Linked DNA regions of Arabidopsis thaliana. The protein of the gene in region 3 interacts with the protein of the main gene of each other region in a pairwise test. Each region holds a gene or a part of one and is shown on either strand. Other genes may lie near its edges.

Region 1 (7,841 bases), on a different chromosome or scaffold from region 3:
TGCGGTTCTCCATTGTATATGGCTCCAGAAATTATCCGGAATCAAAAGTATGATGCTAAGGTGAAGAAACTTCCTCATTTTAAGAAAAGTTTTGCTCATTCTGTTTTTTTTACTTCTTAGTAGTTTCTTGTTGATGGATGTTTCAGGCTGACTTATGGAGTGCCGGTGCGATTTTGTTTCAACTTGTTACTGGGAAACCACCTTTTGATGGAAATAATCACATACAGGTTCGTTGTTAGCCTAAATCGATAGAATTGCCTCGTATGTGAACTTTTAGTGAACTTACTGTGACCTTTATTATTCTTTGGTGTCTGATCTCTGCAGCTTTTTCATAATATTGTGAGAGACACTGAGCTGAAATTTCCTGAAGATACTAGGAATGAGATTCATCCAGATTGTGTTGATCTGTGCAGAAGTCTTCTCCGCCGAAACCCAAGTATTGTTATATGATTCTCTTTTTGTTTACTTTTCTTTATGATCAATCAAATCACACAACTCAGAATTTTCATGGAAACATCTGGTTTTTTTACTGCAGTTGAACGCTTGACATTCCGAGAGTTCTTCAATCACATGTTCCTTCGAGAGCCAAGGTAAAGTCTGTAGATTTTGACTAAAACAACCTTCATCATCCAAAAGCTATAATTTTTCTCCCCTTAATTATGTCATACTAAATGTTGTTAGACAAATTCCGGATGTTGAGCATTCTGGTTTTAGTACCTGTACGGGGAAATCACTGTTGCCCTCCGCACAACCGAGTACTAGTACAAACCGTTTTAAATCAAGTGCAGAGAATGTTCACAAACATGGGAGTTCCTCTAGTGCCTCAAATTCTCAAATTTCAATGCCACATACCTCTTTTGAGAAGACTAGAAAAGATACTGAGGGACAATGCTCATCAAACCAATCTGGAGGTTTGTTATTCGCAATTTTATGTCTGATCTCTGTTGCTCTGTATAAGATCGTATTACTCACATACTCTTGCTATGTCATTCGTGCAGTTGTTGATTCACTCGAGCTCATAGAGAGAGAGTATGTTCTTGTAAACCGTCCTTCTGCCTCGCTGGAAGGTTCATCAGATTGTTTCGACACATCATTGCAAGATTCCGGTTTTCCTAATATCTTACCAAGGAATGAAAAAGTTTCATCGAGTTCACTTGAAGCACAGAAACCATTATCTGATGTGTCAGGTCCACGACCAGCAAGCGTTTCATATCTGCTAACAGAAGTACAACGCTTAACGATTGTCCATCCTCCAACTAAACTCCAACTTTTGCATCAGTATGCACAAGCACTTACAGAACTAGCTAGCGAGATGGTAACTTGAACTCCTGAACTCTGGGTTCTTAAATGATAACATTAGAGCTTCTAACACCTTTGCATACAGGGCAATACAGGGCAGGTAAAGGAATCTTTTGCTGTTACGCTCGTCGTTTTAGCTGTCTGGAGAAAAGCCTTAGAGATATGTGATTCTTGGATGATGTCCGTTGGAGAGAATGAAGTGAACCCAGATCCAACCACGGCTCCTGAGACTTCGATTCCAGATTTGAATTCACCTGCACCAGCTAAAACGTGGGTGACACAAGAGTTTGTTACCGCGTTAAACCAAGCCGAGAATTTATCAACTCAACTAAACGAAACAAGTGGTTAGTACCTAACCGAGCAATTCTCTGTTATGCTTCTTTGAGATTATCTGAAGGCATCTCCTGCGTTTCATTACAGCTGCCACTCATATGCCTGACGCCATGGAAACAATATACGAGAGGGCACTAGCATATGGCAAGAGTGGTGGGGTAAGTACAAAGTTTCCATCTTTTTCGCTTATGTTTTTACCATTTGGTTCTAAAGTCTGAAAGTTTTATGAAAAGCTTCTTTCTACCTTTCTATCTACTGATTTGTCCTAAAAGTCTGAAACATAGTGGGTTGATCCATTTGTATTTGTTTTTCAGGCTGAAGAATATTTGAGTAACAAAGAAAGTGCAGCAACATTATACAAGAAAGCAATTCTTCTACTCTCCTTTATAATCGAGGAAGCAGTGACTCTATCTCTAAACCCCTCTTTCTCATTAACCCCTGACGACAAGAAGCGGATTCTCTACTACATCTCTAACTTACAGCATCGTCGGTCTCATCTTTAGCGAAAATAGACCGCGGGCATTGTATATAAGAAACTTTCCTGGCTCTGCTTGGGTCAAGTCTATAACATTTGTGGCTTTTCCTTATATTCTCTTGAAATTTCGAAATGGTTACTCTATATTGTTGATGCTGTGACCAAAAAGTATTTGCCTCCCTCATTGTATAGTGCCAATATCAATAATAGCTTAAAATACCAAAGATGCAAACTTTGTTGGTGCACAAACTCTCCCGTGTGAAGCTCGAGGAGGATCACTCCAAAGGCGAAAGCTCTAAACGTCCCATTTGGAAACGAGAAGTCTGGTACACGACATCCCATTGACAATGATCGTAAAGTCAACACTTAAAATAGGGACAAAAGTCAAACCATGATTGATGAAATAATAAAGACGAATAAGATCAAACTTTTAATAAGATGGGACCCAATCTCACAAAACACCCAAAGCCTGAACAATAATAATCGAACAATCCAATAATATACGAACAAAACAGAATTTAATTCTGTCAGTAGGAAAATGAAAGAACGAAAAACGAAATTTTTTTATTCTCTTAATTCTTAAAAAATTGGTACAAGTAGGAAAAAAAAAAAAGATACCATTTTGTCAGCTGTTAATATTTTTGGAATTATATGTGTTTAATCAAATTGTCGGAATATCGAAAATCCGATGAACAGCCGCCGTAATCTCGTCGGCTGACTCTAAGTCGCACTCATCTTCCATCTGCTCCGACACAATTGAAAAAAAAAACAAGATTTTTTAATTAAAGATTCAATTTTCAATGTTGGGTTTTTGTTGATTGAAGTAAAAAATGGAAAGTAGTGTTTACCTTGAGGTTGAAGGAATAAGAAACAGAGGAATGAGACGAAGTAGTGATATTGAGATGAAGAACAGTGAGTTTAAGCTTTTCAAGTGATATGATTCCTTTGAGAAGTTGTCCTTGTTTCTTCTCACATTGAACTTTAAGGCTGACATGGTTTTGTATCACTGTAGCTTCGATTTTGGGGATACAAGTTTGATCTTCAAGAGTTGTCCACAGGTCGTTCGACGAAATGCCTGAGAGATGATTAAGTGCGTTTTCTACTACCTCACTGTTACTTTGTTGTTGCGTTCTCTTTTGCGATTCGAGAGATTGTATGATTTGCTCGAGGACCTTCACGTAGTTTATTGCTCCTCCTACTATGGAAGCTTGGTCTCCCTGCAGGACAACATTTGATAAGGTTTTGATGATTAAAGGTTGAAACTTTCATGTATGCTTTTGGTTATTTACTCGTTGGATGTAGGAAGGTGGGAGAAGGGCCCGGAGAGAGTTGATATGTTCGTTCATTTGACGTCTTCTGTTTCGTTCAACAGCAATGTGGTTTATTCTTTGATTCTCAATCTCTTCATTGTTTTTACTTGGTTTTGTTTTCCTCCTCTTTCTCTTTTCTCTAGTCATTTCTTGAGGCAGCAAGTGGTTGATTTTGCGCTTTCGTCTTGAATGTGCACTGAGTGGTGATGAGGTAGAAGAAGGGAGTGTCATGTTTGCTTGGCTAAAGGGAATTTCTTGGCTTGACACAGCTTGATTGGCTCCTTCCATGAAGCGGTTGGTCTCAGATTGGACCGGTGAATGAAATTGTGAATCCTCAAGTGAAAGATATCTTTCGAGTTCCCAAGGCTCCTTGAGGGTTTGAAGAGACAGTAGCGTCAGAAAGTTTGGCTCTTTGATTGAAAAAAACGATGAGGGGTCTTCACTTTGCAGCATCTGTAGAAATGGAACTGTATCTTGTAAGCTTTCTTCCTCTTTTTCTTTGAAAGCAAAGCTTTGAGCCTCTGCAAATCCTTGAACCTCGAGGCTTCTCACATCCGGTTTTCGATCGAAGAACTGTAAAAATGACAGAGGAATGAGATTAGCCGGTGAGACGCAAATGATTGAAAGAGAAGTGTAATTTAGTTCTACTGTGGGTTAGTTTGGTTCTTAGTACAGAGATAAGCAAAAAAATAGAAAGGAAAATGGAATGTTTTCAAAGAAAGGGAAGCAAAAATGATTGTAGAATTGTTACTGTTTTCTCTAAAACAAACAACAAAAGCATTAAATGCACAGTATCTGGACTAATTAGGAATTGTTACTGTTTTCTCTAAAACAAACAACAAAAGCATTAAATGCACAGTATCTGGACTAATTAGGAATGAGTAAATGCAAGTCCATGTCTCTGAGTATGGAAAAAAATGATTCAAGGGAAGAGAGAAAGATTGAAGAAAGAGAGTTAAAAGTTTTCTAAATCAAGCAAAAGATACATACACAGGGGTTGATGTGTCCTTGAAACCTTTCCATTTGAGAGCTCTTGTTTGGTATGTAATGTAATGAAAAGAAGATGAGTGAGTAATAATAAATGCTAAGAATCACCAAAGAGGCAGAAGAGGAAACTCATGTACTCTCTTCTGATTCTGAGCTTTTATGGACTTGTAACTGTTAGCTTTATATAGAACAGTGAGTCTTTAGTAAAGCTATTGAGTAGAGTGGAAACAGAGGAGCTGTAAAAAACAGAGAGGTAATAAGATAGATGTATTTGGGTACTGTAAGAGTTGGTGAGGCTGAGCAGAGCAGATGAGAGAGAGATATTATTGGTGGAAGCAGTTTTGTCTTGAAGTGGAGACAGACTTTGTGGGGACAGTTCTAAATTACACAGAAGAAGAAGGTAAAAAAGAGACATGTCATGGGTAAGAGAGCTTCTTCCTTTGGGTTTGTGTCATCTTTCTCATGATGTCTCAATCATCCTTTCTTCACTATTCCCATACCACACCATTCCTTTTCTTCAAGGCTCAAAAAGCTAAAACTTTATACAGATACCATGTTGCATTTGCATGCATCCATCATGTTCTAATGATTCGAACCTTTAATAGATGTAAGGTTTCTAAAGTGTGGGATTTTGTTTATTACTTTGCAATCAAACATATCTTGATTACAATTAAAAGAAAAAGGTTGACTCTAAATGCCTTGGCTGCTACGGCATTAAACAGTGTTTGTCCTATAAAAATGTCCCAACATGTCCACAAGCTCAATCCAAACGGGTAACTTCATATCCGGTCTCACAAAATTTGAGCAAAGAAACAAAACATTCGTGCTTTGCATGGTTATTGGTTAACGAAGACCTTAGAAACCTTATCAACACATCAAAACTCCAAAGAAAGTTGAATCTTTGTTTATCAATTGTGTACTGGATATGGTTGTTAACTGTCACACACGAGCTATGGTTACTTGCTCTTAGGACAAACATGCCCCACTCTTTTTGGTAGGTCTATTATCAAAGATAAACCCTAAAGATTCTGATTTTTCTTTAGTAGTAACTTAACACAAATCCCTAATCTCAAATAAAGTTATGTCCTTTTAATTACCTTTTTCAAGACAAGACAACTTATTCATAAACAAGAAAGACAATGGCATATGTCACAACAAGGTAATGAGAGCATACGAGAAAGCGAAAAAAGATTTAACTTTGATCATGAAAATGACAGAAAACCAGAGAAATGAACCCTTTTGTTGTTTTAACGCTCGATTTGTATCGTAACGTGACTGATACGATACTCTCTCCAGATGTAATCGATCACTTTGTTCAGCACCATTTCATCACCAGCTTCTGGTCTAACCTTGACATGACAAGAAAACAGAGCTTTTCCAACTGTAATTGCCCATATGTGCAGCTCATGAACATCCACAACTTCCTCAATTTCCATCAATCCCTTTTCGAGCTGCCTCGCGTCTATCTCTCTCGGTGTGCTCTCCATTAGAACTTCAAGTATGCTTCGAAGCATCTTAATGGTTGTCCCTAAAACAATAACTGAAAAGAATAACGTGCATATCAAGTCAATTACTTTCCATTTAGGGTTATACCAAATCATACCCCCTCCAATCATTACCCCAATGCTCTGAATTAAATCCCCAAGAACATGAAGATAAGCCCCTTGCACATTAATGTTCCTTATTTCCTTGGATTTCTCCAACAACTGCTCAGCTCTTTCCCCATAACTATGACCATGATCATGACTGTGACCATGATCATGCCCATGTCCGTGATCATGTCCAAGCACAACAATCATTATGATGTTTACAACTAAACCAAAAGCAGCAACAAGAACCATAAAGAAACCATCAACATCATCATTGGTCTCTTGAACGAGTCTAGTTACGGCTTCGTAGACCAAAATCCCAGTGAGTAACCAAATGAGCTGGATTGAGACAAGAGTGCCTAAAATCTCTATCCTGAAGAACCCATAACTCTGTCGCGGATTTGCTTCCCAAGAAGAAGCCCACAAGGAGAGCATAGAGATAGCAAAAGCACCAACATCAGTGAGCAAATGAGCTGCATCTGCTAATATAGCCAAACTGTTAGCCTTAATGCCACAAACAACTTCTATGCTCATGAACAAAAGACATAACACCACAACGAAACAGAGCTTTCGCATTGAAGCAGCTCGTTTCTTAGCATCACTTGAAGATGTTGAAAACCCACAAGCTGTTTCTCCACAAACTTTACTTCTTCTTGAATCCATCTGCAGCAAAAAAGATTGTAACTTTAGAGCATGAATCAATATTCAATGGGTTCTATACGCAATCCTATGAATACAGTATATAGATTTGATACCTTACAACAAGATAGTAGAAACTCAATTCAGGAGTAAGGTGTTAGAGTTTGAGACTTGAAGGAGATTTTTAAAGGTGGAAAAAACAGAGACATGCATCCCACAACTACACAAGGATGCGAGCAAACCAAAAATTCACATTAAATGATATGACAACATACTCATACCATAACAGAGAGTCAAACCTCAAATCATATTGTATAACATGTGTAGAAGCATTAGAAAATATATTTAAGTAAAGACCCAATGTAACAATGACGAAATCTAAGCGACATCAGATTCCGATTTGGGCCAATTCTGATATCACACAGAGAGTGGAAAGAATCTTGAAACAAAAGCCAAACTCTCTCTTCATATCGTCTGAATTTCCATTAAAGTTCATAATTTTTTTGTTTTTTTTTGCATAATCTTATTGACGATAGTCCACGAAATTGTTTGTTTTTCAACGAAACAATTGAATCTTTAGGCTGTACAGAATAACAGGCCCATTTTGAAAGTTATATAATGGGCTAATGATAAATGCTAGGCTGACTAAATAAAATAATATACAGAATTACTTCGGCTGCTATGGTTACGAAGAAAATTATTCGGCCTATCTTAGACGTCTCTGACTTTCAACGGGACTCAATTAATTGAAATTTTGAAAAATACAAAAACAAAAAAAAGTACAACATTACATATTGATGGAATGTTAACGTTTGTTTTCTGTAATGATGAATTTGGAAAATTCCAAACGAGAAAATATAAATAAATGGAAACGTCTCGATTCGAACTCTGAATGGAGAATCCAGGTCTGTAAAAAATTTATGTACAAACACACAATAGTCAAATATTATCATAATTCAATTAGGATAACCATAGTAGTTATTTTAAAAATAGAGAAATAAAATATAAAGATTATTAATTATCCTAATTCTGTTTTACATCATTTGGTACAAGAATAAAGAATTTGATCATTTTGAAGCCTTCCGATGGTGCCAAGGAGATCTTAAGAGGCCCAAAGAGAGCAACCAAGCGCAAAAACTTATCTACGTTCCGGAGATTCTATGGGTCGATAAACGACTTGGATGAACCAGATAGTTTTATGGCTCTTAG
Region 2 (8,164 bases), 320 kb from region 3:
CAATCGCTAGTTTCATATTCTCGGGTCCAACCGGTGTTGGGAAATCTGAGCTTGCCAAAGCTTTAGCAGCTTACTACTTCGGTTCCGAAGAAGCCATGATTCGTCTAGATATGAGTGAGTTCATGGAGAGGCACACTGTCTCCAAACTCATCGGTTCACCTCCTGGATATGTCGGATACACCGAAGGAGGTCAGTTAACAGAAGCGGTTAGACGTCGCCCTTACACCGTCGTTCTATTCGATGAGATTGAAAAAGCCCATCCAGATGTTTTCAACATGATGCTTCAAATCCTTGAAGATGGTAGATTAACAGACAGCAAAGGAAGAACAGTTGACTTCAAAAACACACTTCTCATCATGACATCAAACGTCGGAAGCAGCGTGATTGAGAAAGGAGGAAGACGTATCGGATTCGACTTAGACTACGACGAGAAAGACAGCAGTTACAACAGAATCAAGAGCCTTGTAACAGAGGAGCTGAAACAATACTTCAGACCCGAGTTCCTAAACAGGCTAGACGAGATGATTGTGTTCAGACAGCTAACAAAGCTGGAAGTGAAAGAAATTGCTGACATACTGTTGAAGGAAGTGTTCGAGAGGTTGAAGAAGAAAGAGATTGAGCTTCAGGTGACCGAAAGATTCAAAGAGAGAGTAGTAGACGAAGGTTATAACCCGAGCTATGGAGCAAGACCGTTGAGAAGAGCCATCATGAGGCTTTTAGAGGATAGTATGGCAGAGAAGATGCTTGCGAGAGAGATCAAAGAAGGAGACTCGGTGATTGTGGACGTTGACGCTGAAGGTAACGTCACGGTGCTAAATGGTGGAAGTGGCACTCCAACTACTTCCTTGGAGGAGCAGGAAGATTCTCTCCCTGTTGCTTAAATAAAAAAAGCAAAGTGCGTGCGTTTCTCTCTTCTTTTGCTTTGGCCCTTAAATGAATTATGGCAAGAGAAGGTTATGAATTGAGATACATGGGGGCTTTCTTAATATACATTTTCTAAATATATGAAAAATGTAATGTATAGATGACATTGTGTAGCTTCTTTTTCTTCCATGCTTTTTAAGGACTTGTCTTTGGTGCCCATGCAAAGAGGAGTTTTTATGTTGGGGTTCGACGTCAAAAGAGTTTAGGATTTCATAACCCAAAAAATAAACTAAAGTGTAGGATAATACACATGGAATCAATCAAACATAACAAGGTCAAATATATGACGTGAAGAAGTAAGAGAATTGAAGAAAACCAATAAAAGCATATGGAACCGACTAGCTACTACCAAATCCTAAACCAACAAAAGCTCACATGAACTAATTCTTTGAATGTTCTTCATATTGTCCACATTTTTAACCTAATCTACACATCATTAGGTTATCCGTGAATAAACAATAGGAATTTTGAAAAATATGATACTGCTTTTCAAAACTACTATTAAGAGAAAAGCTTTTCAAAAAAATCACTTTATAGTCTGTATATAAGACTTTACAAACCTTGTAAAACCATATAAAAACTTATAATAATCTAATTACATTTTGACGTAATATCTTTGAGTTCCTTTAAATATAATAAGGAACACTGAAATTGATATAACATAGGATTAAGATAAAACGTTTCATGTTGAATTTGGTATTAGTGTAGAAGAAAGCGATGTCACATATTGGAACATAGCTAGTGCCAGTTTGCACAGGTACTATTAAATCTTCGGAGATTTTGCATAGATTCGTAAATTGAATAGATAAAAAACAAAAGGAGAGTCGTACCATCACAAAACTCATCAATTTTTAATTAGAATTTTTTTCTCTTTGTTACTATTTTATTGCATTGTAGGCGATGATATGTGAGTAAAAGGTTATCTCTCGTATCATGCGGATAGAGACTTCTATGAATATCTATTTCGTAGACGTAACCGTACGTTAATTAGTCTATTGCCAGGTTGATTTATTTGTATTCTTCTTAGTAGAGAAAATCAATACTTCACTAAACAAAATGGAAATAATATGGTAGAAGGACATAAAACTGTTTTGATAATAGAGAAGAAAACATATAGAGATGCAACATATTTGAATAACAAATATAATGAGATTAAGCTAAATAAACGAAGTGATTAATAGAGATCTATAACAGTTATGAGATCAACCTAACTTACTTCATATATCTTACAATCGTCACATAATTCACTAGACTTATCGGCCAGAAAACGCCGTAAAATGGAAGTTGTTTCTTTGCATTTGTAAGTAATGTTTTGGGATATAGGATGGTAGAAGAAAACTTTGAGTCAATTTCTTAGAGTGAAGTAATGTACCTAATCTATCTCGTAATTCAAGATTCATTTTCATATCATCCTTTCGTAATTAGTCTCGTGCACTTATTCTTTTCTTTAAATGTGATCTTGAATATTCAAAACACAGTACAAATAATAGATCAGCCGCTAATTAAATGCGTTAGATAAAGAATAAAGGTTTTGTGCAAGTACCCTGATTTGAAAAGAAGCAAAAGAGAGATATTGGTGAAGAAAATATGATGCCAATAAATGTTTATTCCTCATCCGGATGAAACGTGCATAATCTCTATCATCTTCGGGTTATGATAATTAATTACAAGCTCATGCGGACCTTTGACATGTAAATTATGTCCAAAAGAACAATCATAATGTTTTCTTGGTTCCTAATTAGCATGTTTTCTTTCTGCTCTAAACTTGATCTCAAAAAGAAAATCATAATAGAAAGTCCATAGATCGTATTCGTACGTATACAATTGATAATTAATTAATCGTAGATTCGCTTAATGTTTTTGTTAAGTACGTGTCATAATAATAATTTATAAATAGAAGAAAGGAATTATAATAGTCTAAATAATTAAGGACATGGATTGTGATAAATTTTGATGGTCAAGTACTCGTTTTTTCGATTATTACTATAAGAGTACCCGATTATATCAAAACAAAATGGAGATTTATGATTTTTTGTCTTCTATGCATACCCAACGGTATCATGGGATTGGACTTCACACCTTATTCACAATTTTTTTTCTTTTGTCCTTTTCTGAAAAGGAAATTTCCTATGTCGATCCAAAGTGGGAAATGGACAAAAGTTTTTATTTTCTCTAACAAAAATGGACAAAAGTTTGTAGTATTATGGTATCCACATAGAGATTATTATTGAGAAGATCACGCGGCATTACATATTTAGTTCTAAATGTACAGTATTTTGGATAGGGTAATATATCTCTCTACTATCTAGTCTTTAATTATATCTGACTCGTTAAACTGTGCCTATATATTGATCTATATATTAGCTGTGGCAAAGGTTCTGCAATCTGATAAAGTAAAATTGATTGATAAATGATAAATATTGCTCTTTTGGTGTACATTAACTTTTTTGATATGTGTATTATAGGTCCGACCCTCTTATAAAGTAAAACAAGCCATAGCTTTAGGGCATTTCTAAATATAGTTCGTTGTTAGGGCGACAATATTGAATGCTTACGTGAGTGTAGTTGATGGTCAATACAAATACATCAATTGGTTTTAGAGAACATTTTCCTCGAGTTCGACTGCCCACGTTGGTCGTTCTTTCGTTCATTTAATGGGTTTAGTTGATTACTTCTTTTTATAGTACATTTATTGTTTTCACGTTATGCGCTATTATATTCTTATAAAAAAAGTCTTAATTAAATGATATATTGATCAGTATTTGTCTTGTTTAGTTTTACAACATGGTTGTATTACAAATTATGTAGTATTTATAATCTTATATTTCAAAACATAATTTATTCTCTAAATAACATAAAACTATGGAGAATACAAATTACAACAAAATTTAAAATTATAAGTTCTTACATAAAGTAATTTGAAACAAATTTTCTAAAATATCATGATACCCATAGAGTAATAAAACTAAACAAAATAAATAGACAAATATTCCATGAGTTTGCATTTGAAAAAAAAAAAAAAAGAGAACATACGTATCTAAGAATGATGAAAGATCATTAGTCACCTAATTTTTGAAATTCAACATTATTTACTTAAATTTTCATTTTTACTCTTCCATGGTTACTCAATGCAATTACTTAAATATACAATCTCGATATTATATATAAACATATCATCTAACATAAATTACCCGCCGAAATATGGTAGTAATTTCTTCTCAAATAAAAAGGTATCTTCAATATACAAGTGGTCCCTAAAATACTCTTTCTTCTGTTTCTCCTTGTTTCTTTGAATAGTGAATACAAAAGCAATTCCTTATATAAACCACTTCAAGTCCTTAATCTTCTCTCACAAAGAAAAAACACTATCTCTATCGACAAAGATAAGAGAACTCAGAAGCTTCTACTCTTAAAATGGCAACTTTCTCTTATTTCCAAAACTACCCTCATTCCCTTCTTGATCCTCTTCTCTTCCCTACACCTCACTCCTCCATTAATCTCACTAGTTTCATCGATCAAAACCATCTCTATCCACTACCAAACATTTCCACAGTTGAAGACATTTCCTTTCTTGAATATAATGTTGACAAAACTGAAAACTCTGGTTCAGAGAAACTGGCCAACACAACCAAAACAGCAACCACCGGTTCTTCTTCCTGCGACCAGCTCAGCCACGGACCATCAGCCATCACCAACACCGGAAAAACCCGTGGGAGGAAGGCCAGAAACAGTAATAACTCCAAGGTATGTTAAACCAACTTGTAATGTATCATCTATCATTTATGTGATGGGGTTGGGATAGTCAAAAACATAAATGTTGGTGTGGTTTGGTGAATTAGGAAGGAGTAGAGGGAAGAAAAAGCAAAAAACAGAAGAGAGGAAGCAAAGAAGAGCCTCCAACAGATTACATTCACGTTCGAGCTAGAAGAGGCCAAGCTACTGATAGCCACAGCCTTGCTGAGAGGGTATTTTAGTCATTTCTCTTAACATTTTAATTTTTCTTCATTAATCATGTTTTCATAAAATACATTTTGATTAATATTTGATTAAACTTATATATATATATATGTAAAGGTGAGAAGGGAAAAGATAAGTGAGCGGATGAGGACTCTGCAAAACCTTGTTCCGGGCTGTGATAAGGTCAGCTAGAGTAGAGACAATTTTATTTAGGAGAATTGATAATGGTTTAATTTTATAATGTTTCTAGAAAATGTTATTAATTGATTAAATGTGACTTGAAAACGAATAGGTAACAGGGAAGGCCCTCATGTTGGATGAGATTATAAATTATGTCCAGACCTTGCAGACTCAAGTTGAGGTGCATTTTCTTAATTATTTTGTTTTTTCTTGTAACATTTTATGTTAAAACTAATGTTTCTAATTCATAACTTTTTTTTCTGTTTCATTAGTTTCTCTCAATGAAGCTAACTTCTATAAGTCCGGTGGTCTATGACTTTGGCTCCGACCTTGATGGCCTCATACTTCAATCTGAGGTATTTCATTTACACAATGTCTCTTAATCCGGTTACCGATAAAACCAAGTCATGTATCCCGAAAAGCCGGTTATGGATCTTAAGTAGATATTTTCTTGATGGACAGATGGGTTCTCCAGAAGTAGGAACGTCTTTTACCAATGCAATGCCAACAACTACTCCTATCTTTCCTTCACTATTGGATAATTCTGTAGTTCCCACACATGCACAAGTTCAGGTTTTTCATTTTTTTCTATAAGTGATTATTTCAGATAATAATTATAATAAGGAGAATGAAGATAGATAAGAATCAATTATTGGAAGATTAATAGATAGTGATGTGTTGCTTAATTTAGGAAGAGGGAGAAGAAAGAGAGAACTTTGTAGACAGAAGTGGGTTCAACAACAACAACTTCTGTTCTTTCCCTTGATAAAATTACATGTCGACACAAACACAAAAGCCTGCTTTCGTGAGTTTCTTCTGGTCTTGTCTCTTCAACTACCTAATTATTATCATTACAATTATTTTTAACATTTCTCATATAGAAATTGTTAAAAATCTTGATGTGGGTTCGTAATTATTGCTATCGTTTATTGGATGTAGGTTGATTTAATCTCCTCCCATTTGCACGGAGGGAATAAAATCTACGTAAACCAGGTTTTGTAAAAGTGGATGTACTTATTTGTTCCGTTTATATAGTTTGAAGAAATAAAGTATTTTAGAGACTTAAAAAGCTCATTTTCTCTATTTGTCCCGAGAGTTTCAACATAATCATTACATAAAATCAATGGATAAATTCATACTAAAAGAGAATGGTATATGAGGCAGAGGCAAATTCGATGGAGGAAAGAAAGACATATAAACTAAGAAGACCTATCAGCTTAATCATTGTTTTTTTTAATATAATTGAATTTTGATGTATCCACTCATTAATTTTATAAGTTCTTGTATTTTCACCACTTCTGTCTTTCTGATTTCTTGCACCAAAGTTTCCTTTTTCCTCCAATCTTTTTAAATGTAAACTGTTATCCACACACTCATGTTATATTTCCTATATATATAAAAATGTTCGAGGGATAACTACTTATGCATGTATATAAATCTAAATGATTCGTTTCCTGTCAATTTAGTTGGCTACAAAATTATGTCAGAAGAAAAGATTAGATTTCCCTTCCTGAGAACACTTTAATGTACCTGTTGAATAGTTTGGTCATGCTTTTCTGCTCTCACTTGTCACACATTGATAACTCCCATTCCTCTGTATCTGTCCTTTCACAATACATATGTTATAAGTTTTATTTTAGTTTAGAGTATGTCTAATATATATATACCAAAATTCTTGAAAGAGATATTTGATACTGTTGTATTTGTAAATATGATTTGTTGGTTGTCTAACATTTTCATGAGGTGGTAATTAACGATTCCTTGAGTTATTCAATCCTAAATTGCAGGATTTATTTGAATACACCTAAATAAATTATATGCAAGAGCCTTATGTATATTATCGTTATTCAGTTACATACATATTAATAACCTCTTTTATTAACGAACCTAGAATAGAGATTTTTTTGTATGATTTTCATTTCTTGATGTATATGTCAGGATGTATATGATTTGTGAGATTACTCTTCACAATTCAACAATTTGAGATTTTAGTTAAATAAGTAAAATTTAATTGATATCATCTCTTCTAAGATTTGTTATTGGACTATGGTTCAAAATTTTCACTTTTTCCCTTTTTTATTATTATAAATATGATATGTTGCTAGATGAATTGGGTCATCATTTTCTTGCAATTGTTTCGTCATGAATACGATTTTTTTTTTTTTTTTTAATCGAAAATGCATATGAATTTGGTCCCAAGTTATTATACGGCAAATTGATCAATCATAAAATACAATAACAAAGGAAATGCTAAGTTTCTCGTGGCACATAATTGTATCTGCTAACGGTTTCATCCTGAATCAATGGACAACACATTTCGTAAATCTTATGCACATCATTTCACCTCATATGTTTATTTCAAAGTATACCTCTTATAACTTTAACTGTGCGTTTCGATTCTTCGCATCATCAAACCTATCAAAATCAAACCCTAAATATCTGATGACACGTTTTATGCGAGAACGATTGGTAAGTTAACCGAAGGGTCCACGATTCAATTTGATAACACGCCTAGGTGAGAAAAAATGTTGTACATTATTACACAACTAATACAGCCAAAAAAAAAAAAAAAGCAACAATTCGAAGGCATGATTAAATGAGCAGTCCGGCCGTTAGTCGTCCAGAGATTTTCATGTCTATGTCTAGTCCCATCTCTTCTATTACACTCTTTTTCTTTGTTTGTTTTCATGTACCTAACTTCATTTCCACGTGTACATGAATCATTCTTCCATTACAAAAACTATAAAGATAGTAGCTAGCCAAGATGGCTGTTGAAATTGCCATTCTTCTATCCCTCTCAAAGTAGTGAATGGTAAGTGAACAAGTAAACTCTATAGGACGATGAAAATGTAAATACGTATAGATATATAATGACGTAGTAGTTCTAGAAAATACAACCTTATTAACCAAAATAACATCATCAAAAGTTTTGAAGTTGAAGAAACACTGATACTAGGTCATATTTAAGCTTAAAATTATTATTTTCTATCAGTATACTAGTCGACCAACTATTGTTACTGGTTTAGAAGCAGGTTCAGTCTTTATCAGTTGGGTTATCAAGAAAGTAGACCAAGCACACACTTTAGAAAGCCCATTAACAACA
Region 3 (7,865 bases):
TGTCAGTCCTATAATGCATTTCTTTTTTTAAAAAATACTCTTCATTTGATCAAATTCTATAAAAGTTTAGCATAACACATCATTGTTTAGCTATTTAATAAGAAAACTCCAAATTAATATTCTTAATAACTTCTATCCTAATGACCCATGTGAAATTATACTCTTTAATTATACGCTCTCATAATCTCATTACATAGCATATCAATAATACATAAATCACTAAACTATAGTATGTTGATAAGTGATAACAAAACTGTCAAACTTTAATTATAGTCTTTGCGTGATGTAATAAAAAAAAAATCATTAAATGTCTGTCAAAAAATTAAAAAAGTCATTAAATGTATGAAAAGTCATTAACTACTGTGTGTGACCACAACAATCTTGTAACAGCTCATCTTCAAAGTGTAATAATAACATAACACAATTTTTTATTTTCACTTCAGAGGTTTTTTTTTTTCCTATGCCGTCACGAACACTCCCGTCGCCGGCACCGGTAAATTCACCGTTCTCTTCCTCCGTCACACCTCACCATGAAACAACCACCACACGCATCTTCCCTCCTCTTGCAGCTGTAGGTTTCTCTCTCTTCATAACTCTCTCCATCTGTTTCTGCAAATTCAACCGCAAACGCCGATCTCCCGCCGCCGTAGCCTCCTCCTCTACACCGCCGCAGAAACAACCGTTACACGAGTTCTCCTACTCATCTCTCCGTAAAGCCACCGCTTCTTTCTCACCGGAGAATCGACTAGGTCAAGGCGGATTCGGCTCTGTATTCCGTGGAACTTTATCTCCTTCCTCCGGTGGTGGTAATGTCGCCGTTAAAGTAATGGATTCAGGTTCTCTTCAAGGAGAAAGAGAGTTTCAAAACGAGCTTTTCTTCGCTGGTAAGCTTGATTCTCCTCATGTAGTTTCCGTTATTGGCTTCTCTCGACGACGACGAAGCCGTTTGATTCTTGTATACGAGCTTATGGATATTGGAAATCTTCAAGATGCTCTTCTTCATCGTAGATCTCCTGAGCTTATGATATGGAATCGAAGATTTCTCGTTGCGATTGATATAGCTAAAGGGATTGAACATTTACATAGCTTGAATCCTTGTGTGATTCATGGAGATTTGAAACCTAGTAATGTATTGTTGGATCGATTCTTCTCTGCTAAGATCTCTGATTTTGGTTTAGCTAGGTTGAAATCTGAACATGTTGAAGTTAAAGTAGTGTCTGAGAGTGATGTAGTGGAAGATTATGGTTCTGTAGTTGAAGAAGTTGAGAGTGTTGTTACTAATACTACTGGTTGTGATGAATCTAACTTTGGATTCACTGATCAGTCTCCGGTGCCTCTTTCATCGCCGGAGATGGTGGAGCAGGTGCCTATGACGTCACCGGAGACAGTTGTATCGGTTTCTCCGGAGATGGGGGAGAAAGGAAGTGTGTTGGAGGTTGGTAATGTGGTGAGGAGTAAAGATTGGTGGTGGAAGCAAGAAGGGAATGTTGGAAGAGGGAAAGGGAAGGAGTATGTGATGCAATGGATTGGTTCTGAGGTGAAGGAAGAGAGACAGAGTAGTGATTGGATTGCTGAGACGGCGGAAGGCGGTAAGAAAGTTGAGAAGAAGAAGAGTAGTAAGAGATTAGAATGGTGGCTTTCGTTGGATGAAGAGAAGGAGAAGGGGAAGAAGAAGAAGCGGAGAATGGTGAGAGAGTGGTGGAAAGATGAGTATAGGAAAGAGCTTGCTAAGAGAATGAAGAAGAAGAAGAAGAAGAAAACTTTGGAGTCTGAGTTTTATAGTGATGATGTGAGTGGAAGTGTGGATCAAAGGCGGCACGGGGATGGAGAAGTGTATAGGAAGAAAAGAAGAGGTGTTAGTAGTAACAGTATAGGTAGTAGCATAGACTGGTGGTTAGATGGGCTAAGCGGTGAACAATGGAGAGCACGGCGTAGAAACAGTCAAGATTCAGTTAAGAGTTGCGGAGTCAGTAGCACGCCGAGCATGAGAGGGACGATGTGCTATGTTGCTCCTGAGTGTTGTGGTAATAACATAGATGATGTGTCTGAAAAATCTGATGTGTATAGCTATGGAGTTTTGTTGTTAGTCCTGGTTTCAGGACGGCGGCCGCTGGAAGTAACTGGACCCGCGTCTGAGATCATGCTGCGTGCAAATCTCATGTCGTGGGCGAGGAAGCTGGCGAGAAGAGGGAGACTCGGTGATCTGGTGGATGAAAAGCTGCAGTTGTTAGACCAAGAACAAGCGGTTTTGTGCATTAAGGTGGCTTTGCAATGTCTGCAAAAATCACCGGTTTCACGACCTTCAATGAAAGATGTTTTAGAAATGCTTACAGGAGCGATAAGCCCACCGGATTTGCCTACAGAATTCTCACCATCACCGCAGACTCGGTTCCCGTTCAAGGCACGAAGGAAGCAGAATCGATAGAGCGGTTTCTTTGGTGGTAGATGTGTGTTGGTTTATAGCATTTGTCCTACAACACTGTCTTTGTTAGTGATGTTTTAGTGTTTGAGCCACTTATATTTGTTTGCACAACGGTGTTTTAGCTTCGTATATCTGATTATGATTAATTATTGTAGTTTAGTGATCATTTTCTTGTAAAACTCAACATCAATTTTTGCTAGTTTTTCTCGTAGATTTATGCTGAATTTGCATAAAGGATGCAGCATATGAAGAGTATTCTGAGATTTGATATAAAAAAATCTGTTGAAATCTCTAAAAGTCATATGTTTGTACAGGATCCTCGTTATTGGGCCTATTAGGAAATTATAGTGGCCCTAATCTAGTCATTACGTCTTATACACTTGGTTAGGACTGGCCCTTTGTTGAATATCAAAATACAATTGGTCTATTGGGCTTTGGAGAACGTTATATTTCTAATTTTTTTCTAACATTATAAATTCATGAAACCACTAACTTTTGGGCAAAGCCGGTCTTGAAGATATAATTTTTTTACGACAAAAAAAAAAAAAAAAAGCCTCCAAGTTAAAAGAAAAAAAAAAAACATGTACATTAGTGAGTTTTGAAGAGAGAAAAAGGATATAATGGTGGGAGGGGTAAGGTGATTATTTTCAAAAAGCTTCAAAAACACGATTTAACCATATTGGTAGAAATAAAATCATATGAAATAACTTTTGGCCATGTTTACATATCTTTCGTTCGTATAGTTTTTCATAACGATTTTAGTTGTATGGTTAAAATTAGCTGACATTTACCATCTATAAATAACATATCAATGTCGTGCTGGTATAAACCTTTACTGTCCCACAACTACCAACCATACAAATACTAAAAAGAAAGTGTCAATTATCGCATAATTTACCACGAACAATCACTTTTCAAGTATTTTATTTTAGGTTGTATGTTTGTTTATTCTTTTTCAAGAAGTGATTTTCGTGGAAGTTTTAGTTATATATAAGCTCTATAGCGTTAATTTCCTGTTTTGGGCTCATAGGTGTGGTTCATGCGAAATACCGACTACCTTTTGCCAAAGATTTGTAAAACCAAAGTCTAATTGACGAAAATTACCACCACCTCACCTTGTAAGAAATGGCTTAATAATTACAGTCGTACTGTTTAAAACGGTATATCATTGAATATTGATGCCTTTCAAACGAATTTTGTTGACATCAACAATACGTTGATTATATATCATTTTGAGTATATTTTGTTAAAATTTTAATGCATTAATTAAAAAGACGATAATATTTAAAACAATTTCAACAAAACGAATACTTGTTACATAACATCTAACCAACCGGATAATTTGGTCGCTAAAATCTTTGTTTTTTAGTGAATTGCATGTGCAAAGTTTATCTTGAGAATTTGGAGGATGTCTTAAAATGTAGAATGGTAATAAGAAAAGAGTAAGCATGTGATCTCGATCGGAATAGAACATCACATATTTGATTATATTATTAACTATAGAAGAAGAGCTGATGAAGACCATCACTGCGTGCGTACCCTATCAAACGTATTTTTAATTCTTTTTCCGATACGACTAACCAACGTATCTTCTTCTCTCTATTAAATAATATTATCAAAATATCTTTTTTTAAATTAATTTGCTCAATCTTCAAGACTGCAATAATTTTTCAACTTTACAACAAAGCCCTGAGCTGTTCTTCTAAAGACTAAGATCACAAAATCCGCATAAGATCAGATCTTGCTGTCTCATCTTCATCATCAGAAGTAGAGAATCTTTTAAAGGAATATTTACTTTTATTAATTTAAGACCACCAGATGGATGATTGTCGGGACAAGAGAAGAAGACGGTGTACGAAGCTGACATGTGGTACTGATAATAACGACATGGAGAAGATGATGCACAGAGAAACTGAGAGGCAAAGGAGACAAGAAATGGCTTCTCTTTATGCCTCTCTTCGTTCTCTTCTCCCTCTTCACTTCATCAAGGTCTCACACTCCCCTAAAAACCCTAATCCTGATTTCGGTTCTTCATGACTTCTTAGATCTACTTAATCTTTGTCCTTTTATTTAGTCTTCCATGTAAGAAAATGAAAAAGGGATATAGTAACAAGTGTTTTGACTTTGTGATGTTACTTAACTATAGTGTTTTTCTTAAAAGGTTCCTAAATAGATCTATTGCTTTCTTGGTTTGTTTTGTTTCTTGGCGGATTCTTTTGCTCTCTCTAGGGTAAGCGTTCGACGTCAGATCAAGTCAACGAGGCGGTGAACTACATAAAGTATCTACAGAGGAAGATCAAGGAGCTAAGTGTGAGGAGAGATGATCTCATGGTACTGTCTAGAGGAAGTTTATTGGGTAGTAGTAATGGTGATTTTAAGGAAGATGTGGAGATGATAAGTGGGAAAAATCATGTGGTGGTTCGTCAGTGTTTGGTTGGTGTGGAAATCATGTTGAGTAGCCGCTGCTGCGGTGGCCAACCGCGGTTTTCGAGTGTTCTTCAAGTGCTTAGTGAATATGGTCTCTGCCTTCTTAACTCCATCTCCTCTATTGTTGATGATAGGCTAGTTTACACCATACAGGCCGAGGTAAACCTATCCTACCCTCATAATCTTAGTTACTTATTTCAGCTGCGATATAGACATCAATTGCTCCAAAATATTTTTATTTTTTTCTAAAAATACTTTCTATTTCGAACTTTTCATTAAATTCTTTAACAAAATGCAAATCAAAGTTCTCCATAAACCTTTCGTTTTGTTTGGTTTTCATGTTTGTAGTTTATAAAAATGGTTGGTAAAAACAAGAATTTGTGTGGTTGCGTTGTAAGATACACATACACACAATTTCATAACATCTCAATTTAGATTCAAAAAAAAAGAAAAGAATTGAGGTCTTTGCTAATATATGTATATACTATCGACATTTGAATCCATCAGATTGTGGACGTTAGTAGGAACCTTATATATCTTTCTATCTTAAGCATCAAATATTTGAAAAGAAGAAATCATAATTGCAACTGTCCATATATACAAGAAAATGTTCTCACATGTGGTAATTAAAATTTATATCCCTCATGCATTTAAATATATATATCACCTCATGGTGTATGTATTGAATTTTGAAAACTATTATATTTCTGGAGGTTAGAGGGTGCATGTGCATTATCAAGGTATTTCAATAATTCTGTCCCAGGTTAGAGGGTGGCATGGAATATCCAATTATAGAACAAAATGATCAATTAACTGTGCCTGTTGTTTGATTTTGTCTTCGAATTTTCTTCAAAGCAAAAATCTTACTCGTATGAAGAGATGTATACTTCGTATATATACTACTATACATAAGAGTTTGGTACATTTGAGTATATATATTGAAAATTTCTTTTGTTTTGCAGGTCAACGATATGGCTTTGATGATTGACTTAGCAGAACTTGAAAAGAGATTAATCAGAATGAAGTAAATTCTTGTTGAGTAGGTTGCTCTTAACTTGTCAAGTAAACGACATATATAGTTAAGTACGTACTTTATTCGTACCTGTGATTGTTGTGTCGTGTTCACATCTATCTGTATGTATATTATGTTTATTCCATCTGATTGTCATTAGCTCATTTAGTTGTTTATAGATCGGAAAATTATGTTTCCCATAAGCTGAGTTAGTACTTCATGGTTATATGTTTTTTTTAATATTTTATGGTTATATGCTATGATTGGGATTTTATTTGATCAATTTCAAAAAGAAATTAAAGTTTTTAGTGGTGTCTAGGCAGTGTTTGAAGCTGGTAGCATTCGTTTATTAAAAAAAAAAAAGAGTTGGTAGTATTCTGCTGATTTATATATAAGAAAAACCAACGAAAATTTACAAAATAAGAATTTATAATTGTAAGACAAGACTATAATATATTAAACTCATTAAGTTGCACATATTAGTGCTCGTATAAGAATCTGTTTACAAACAAAAAAATGAAGCATATATGAAACAGCTATTAAAGTATATACAAAATTAAGCAAACAAACTATATAGTATTATAAAGATTTTTGTAGCTTCAATCTGCTTTAATCTTAATTTGTAGGATAAAAATATGAGTTTCTTATTATGAACAGCTAAGTATTTTCCATCTTTTTAAAGGTCAATATTTGGATATTATAAAACTGATACTATATTTTATCAAAATGTATAGTACAGTGAGTTACGTTGTACTAGCAACGCAAGTGAAAGTTTTATTGAAATTCCAATATAATACATTTGTGAATTTTTTATATAAAAAAATGCTTGCGGTTAGTTAGCATTTTGGTTTCACAAAACTAAAATATCTTAAAAGTTTTATTTTTTTGGGCGACATATACAACGATATGTTCATGATGATGAACTTTTACAAAACAAACCTAACTGAAAAAGCATAAAATTATTGCCAGACAATATATTATTAAAGTCTCATTAATAATTTCAAAACAAATTCGGTTAAGTGAACTTTTTATGAAAAGAAAACAAATACTATGTATTAAACATATACAACAAGAAAACATTAAACATGCAAGATCCTACGGGGAAAACCGTTAGAAATGGATTTTCGAGATTTTTGACGGAATTCGACCGTCGAATATACAACATTGGAAATCAAAATCTGTTGGAAATGTTTTGGAATTTTCCGATAATTGTTTTTAATTATTTTAAAATATTATGAAATTAAATTCAAATTCGATTTATAAATAAGAATCTTGTATTTATACAACTCGGAAGCTCTAGTTATCGTTATTATTTTCTTTTCTCTCAACCTATTAGAAACTATCACTAGGATCATCAAAATCAAAGATTTATCGAGTAAATCTCCCAAAAACGAATCGACTAGATTTTCTGTTTCCGATCAAAACTATTGTTTTAAGACTTTAAGTAGTCCCATACTAAAAAAAAAAAAAAAAAAAAAAAAGTAGTCCCTTACTACATCAAATTCGTCTTCCTTGACGGCAGTTCTACTGTTTACCTTTCTAACAATTTGATTAGAAAATACTGTTAGATTATTATAAGTGGTTGGTTTGTAACTGAACACGGCTTACACACAGAACAAAAATCAAACTTGAGGTTATAATGAATAACTACATAAACTCACATGTGGCATAATGCATGCTCGAAATAATTTGGGAGAGTGGGATCCATGAGATGCTAATGAGGCTGGGATATTTTAGGACAAATGAAACAGCTGGTTTCCATCTATTAATAACCAGGATCTTTCTTGTCTCCTCTTCCACCTTGTCTTGAAGTTGCATGAGCTGTCCTAGGCCTATCTTTTAACTATGTCCACTCCACTTCACTCATCCTATCCACTTAGCTTATCCCCATTATTAAATGTGTCTCCCTTGGTTTTACTATTTATCTTTATCATATTTTGATTGAAAAATATCGTGAGGTTAGTTTCTAGAAGTTTTACCCGATGACAATCGAAATTGCCAAAA

Evidence for each region.
Region 1: the proteins of AT5G51780 (region 3) and AT3G61950 interact in a two-hybrid assay, tested with the Arabidopsis thaliana proteins (one large-scale study listed by BioGRID).
Region 2: the proteins of AT5G51780 (region 3) and AT5G50915 interact in a two-hybrid assay, tested with the Arabidopsis thaliana proteins (one large-scale study listed by BioGRID).

What each region holds. Positions count from the first base shown.
Region 1 is NC_003074.8:22,936,260-22,944,100, reverse strand, and holds AT3G61950 (basic helix-loop-helix (bHLH) DNA-binding superfamily protein), read right to left. Parts: upstream 4,714-7,841; 5' UTR 4,441-4,713; coding exon 4,408-4,440; intron 4,297-4,407; exon of another isoform or gene 3,991-4,296; coding exon 3,397-3,990; coding exon of another isoform or gene 3,373-3,396; exon of another isoform or gene 3,325-3,372; coding exon 2,956-3,324; coding exon of another isoform or gene 2,905-2,955; exon of another isoform or gene 2,850-2,904; coding exon 2,769-2,849; 3' UTR 2,619-2,768; downstream 1-2,618. Other genes in the region: AT3G61960 (Protein kinase superfamily protein), read left to right, coding at 1-60, 147-227, 325-436, 536-590, 682-911, 999-1,315, 1,385-1,643, 1,720-1,790 and 1 more; MTPA1 (Cation efflux family protein), read right to left, coding at 5,652-6,656.
Region 2 is NC_003076.8:20,708,427-20,716,590, reverse strand, and holds AT5G50915 (basic helix-loop-helix (bHLH) DNA-binding superfamily protein), read left to right. Parts: upstream 1-4,126; 5' UTR 4,127-4,338; coding exon 4,339-4,668; intron 4,669-4,763; coding exon 4,764-4,889; intron 4,890-4,998; coding exon 4,999-5,064; intron 5,065-5,173; coding exon 5,174-5,242; intron 5,243-5,333; coding exon 5,334-5,417; intron 5,418-5,523; coding exon 5,524-5,634; coding exon of another isoform or gene 5,635-5,655; exon of another isoform or gene 5,656-5,752; coding exon 5,753-5,827; 3' UTR 5,828-5,866; exon of another isoform or gene 5,867-6,000; 3' UTR 6,001-6,488; downstream 6,489-8,164. Other genes in the region: CLPC1 (CLPC homologue 1), read left to right, coding at 1-881; AT5G50910 (uncharacterized protein), read left to right, coding at 7,309-7,530, 8,054-8,164.
Region 3 is NC_003076.8:21,030,570-21,038,434, forward strand, and holds AT5G51780 (basic helix-loop-helix (bHLH) DNA-binding superfamily protein), read left to right. Parts: upstream 1-4,056; 5' UTR 4,057-4,240; coding exon 4,241-4,411; intron 4,412-4,651; coding exon 4,652-5,008; intron 5,009-5,811; coding exon 5,812-5,877; 3' UTR 5,878-6,204; downstream 6,205-7,865. Other genes in the region: AT5G51770 (Protein kinase superfamily protein), read left to right, coding at 461-2,425.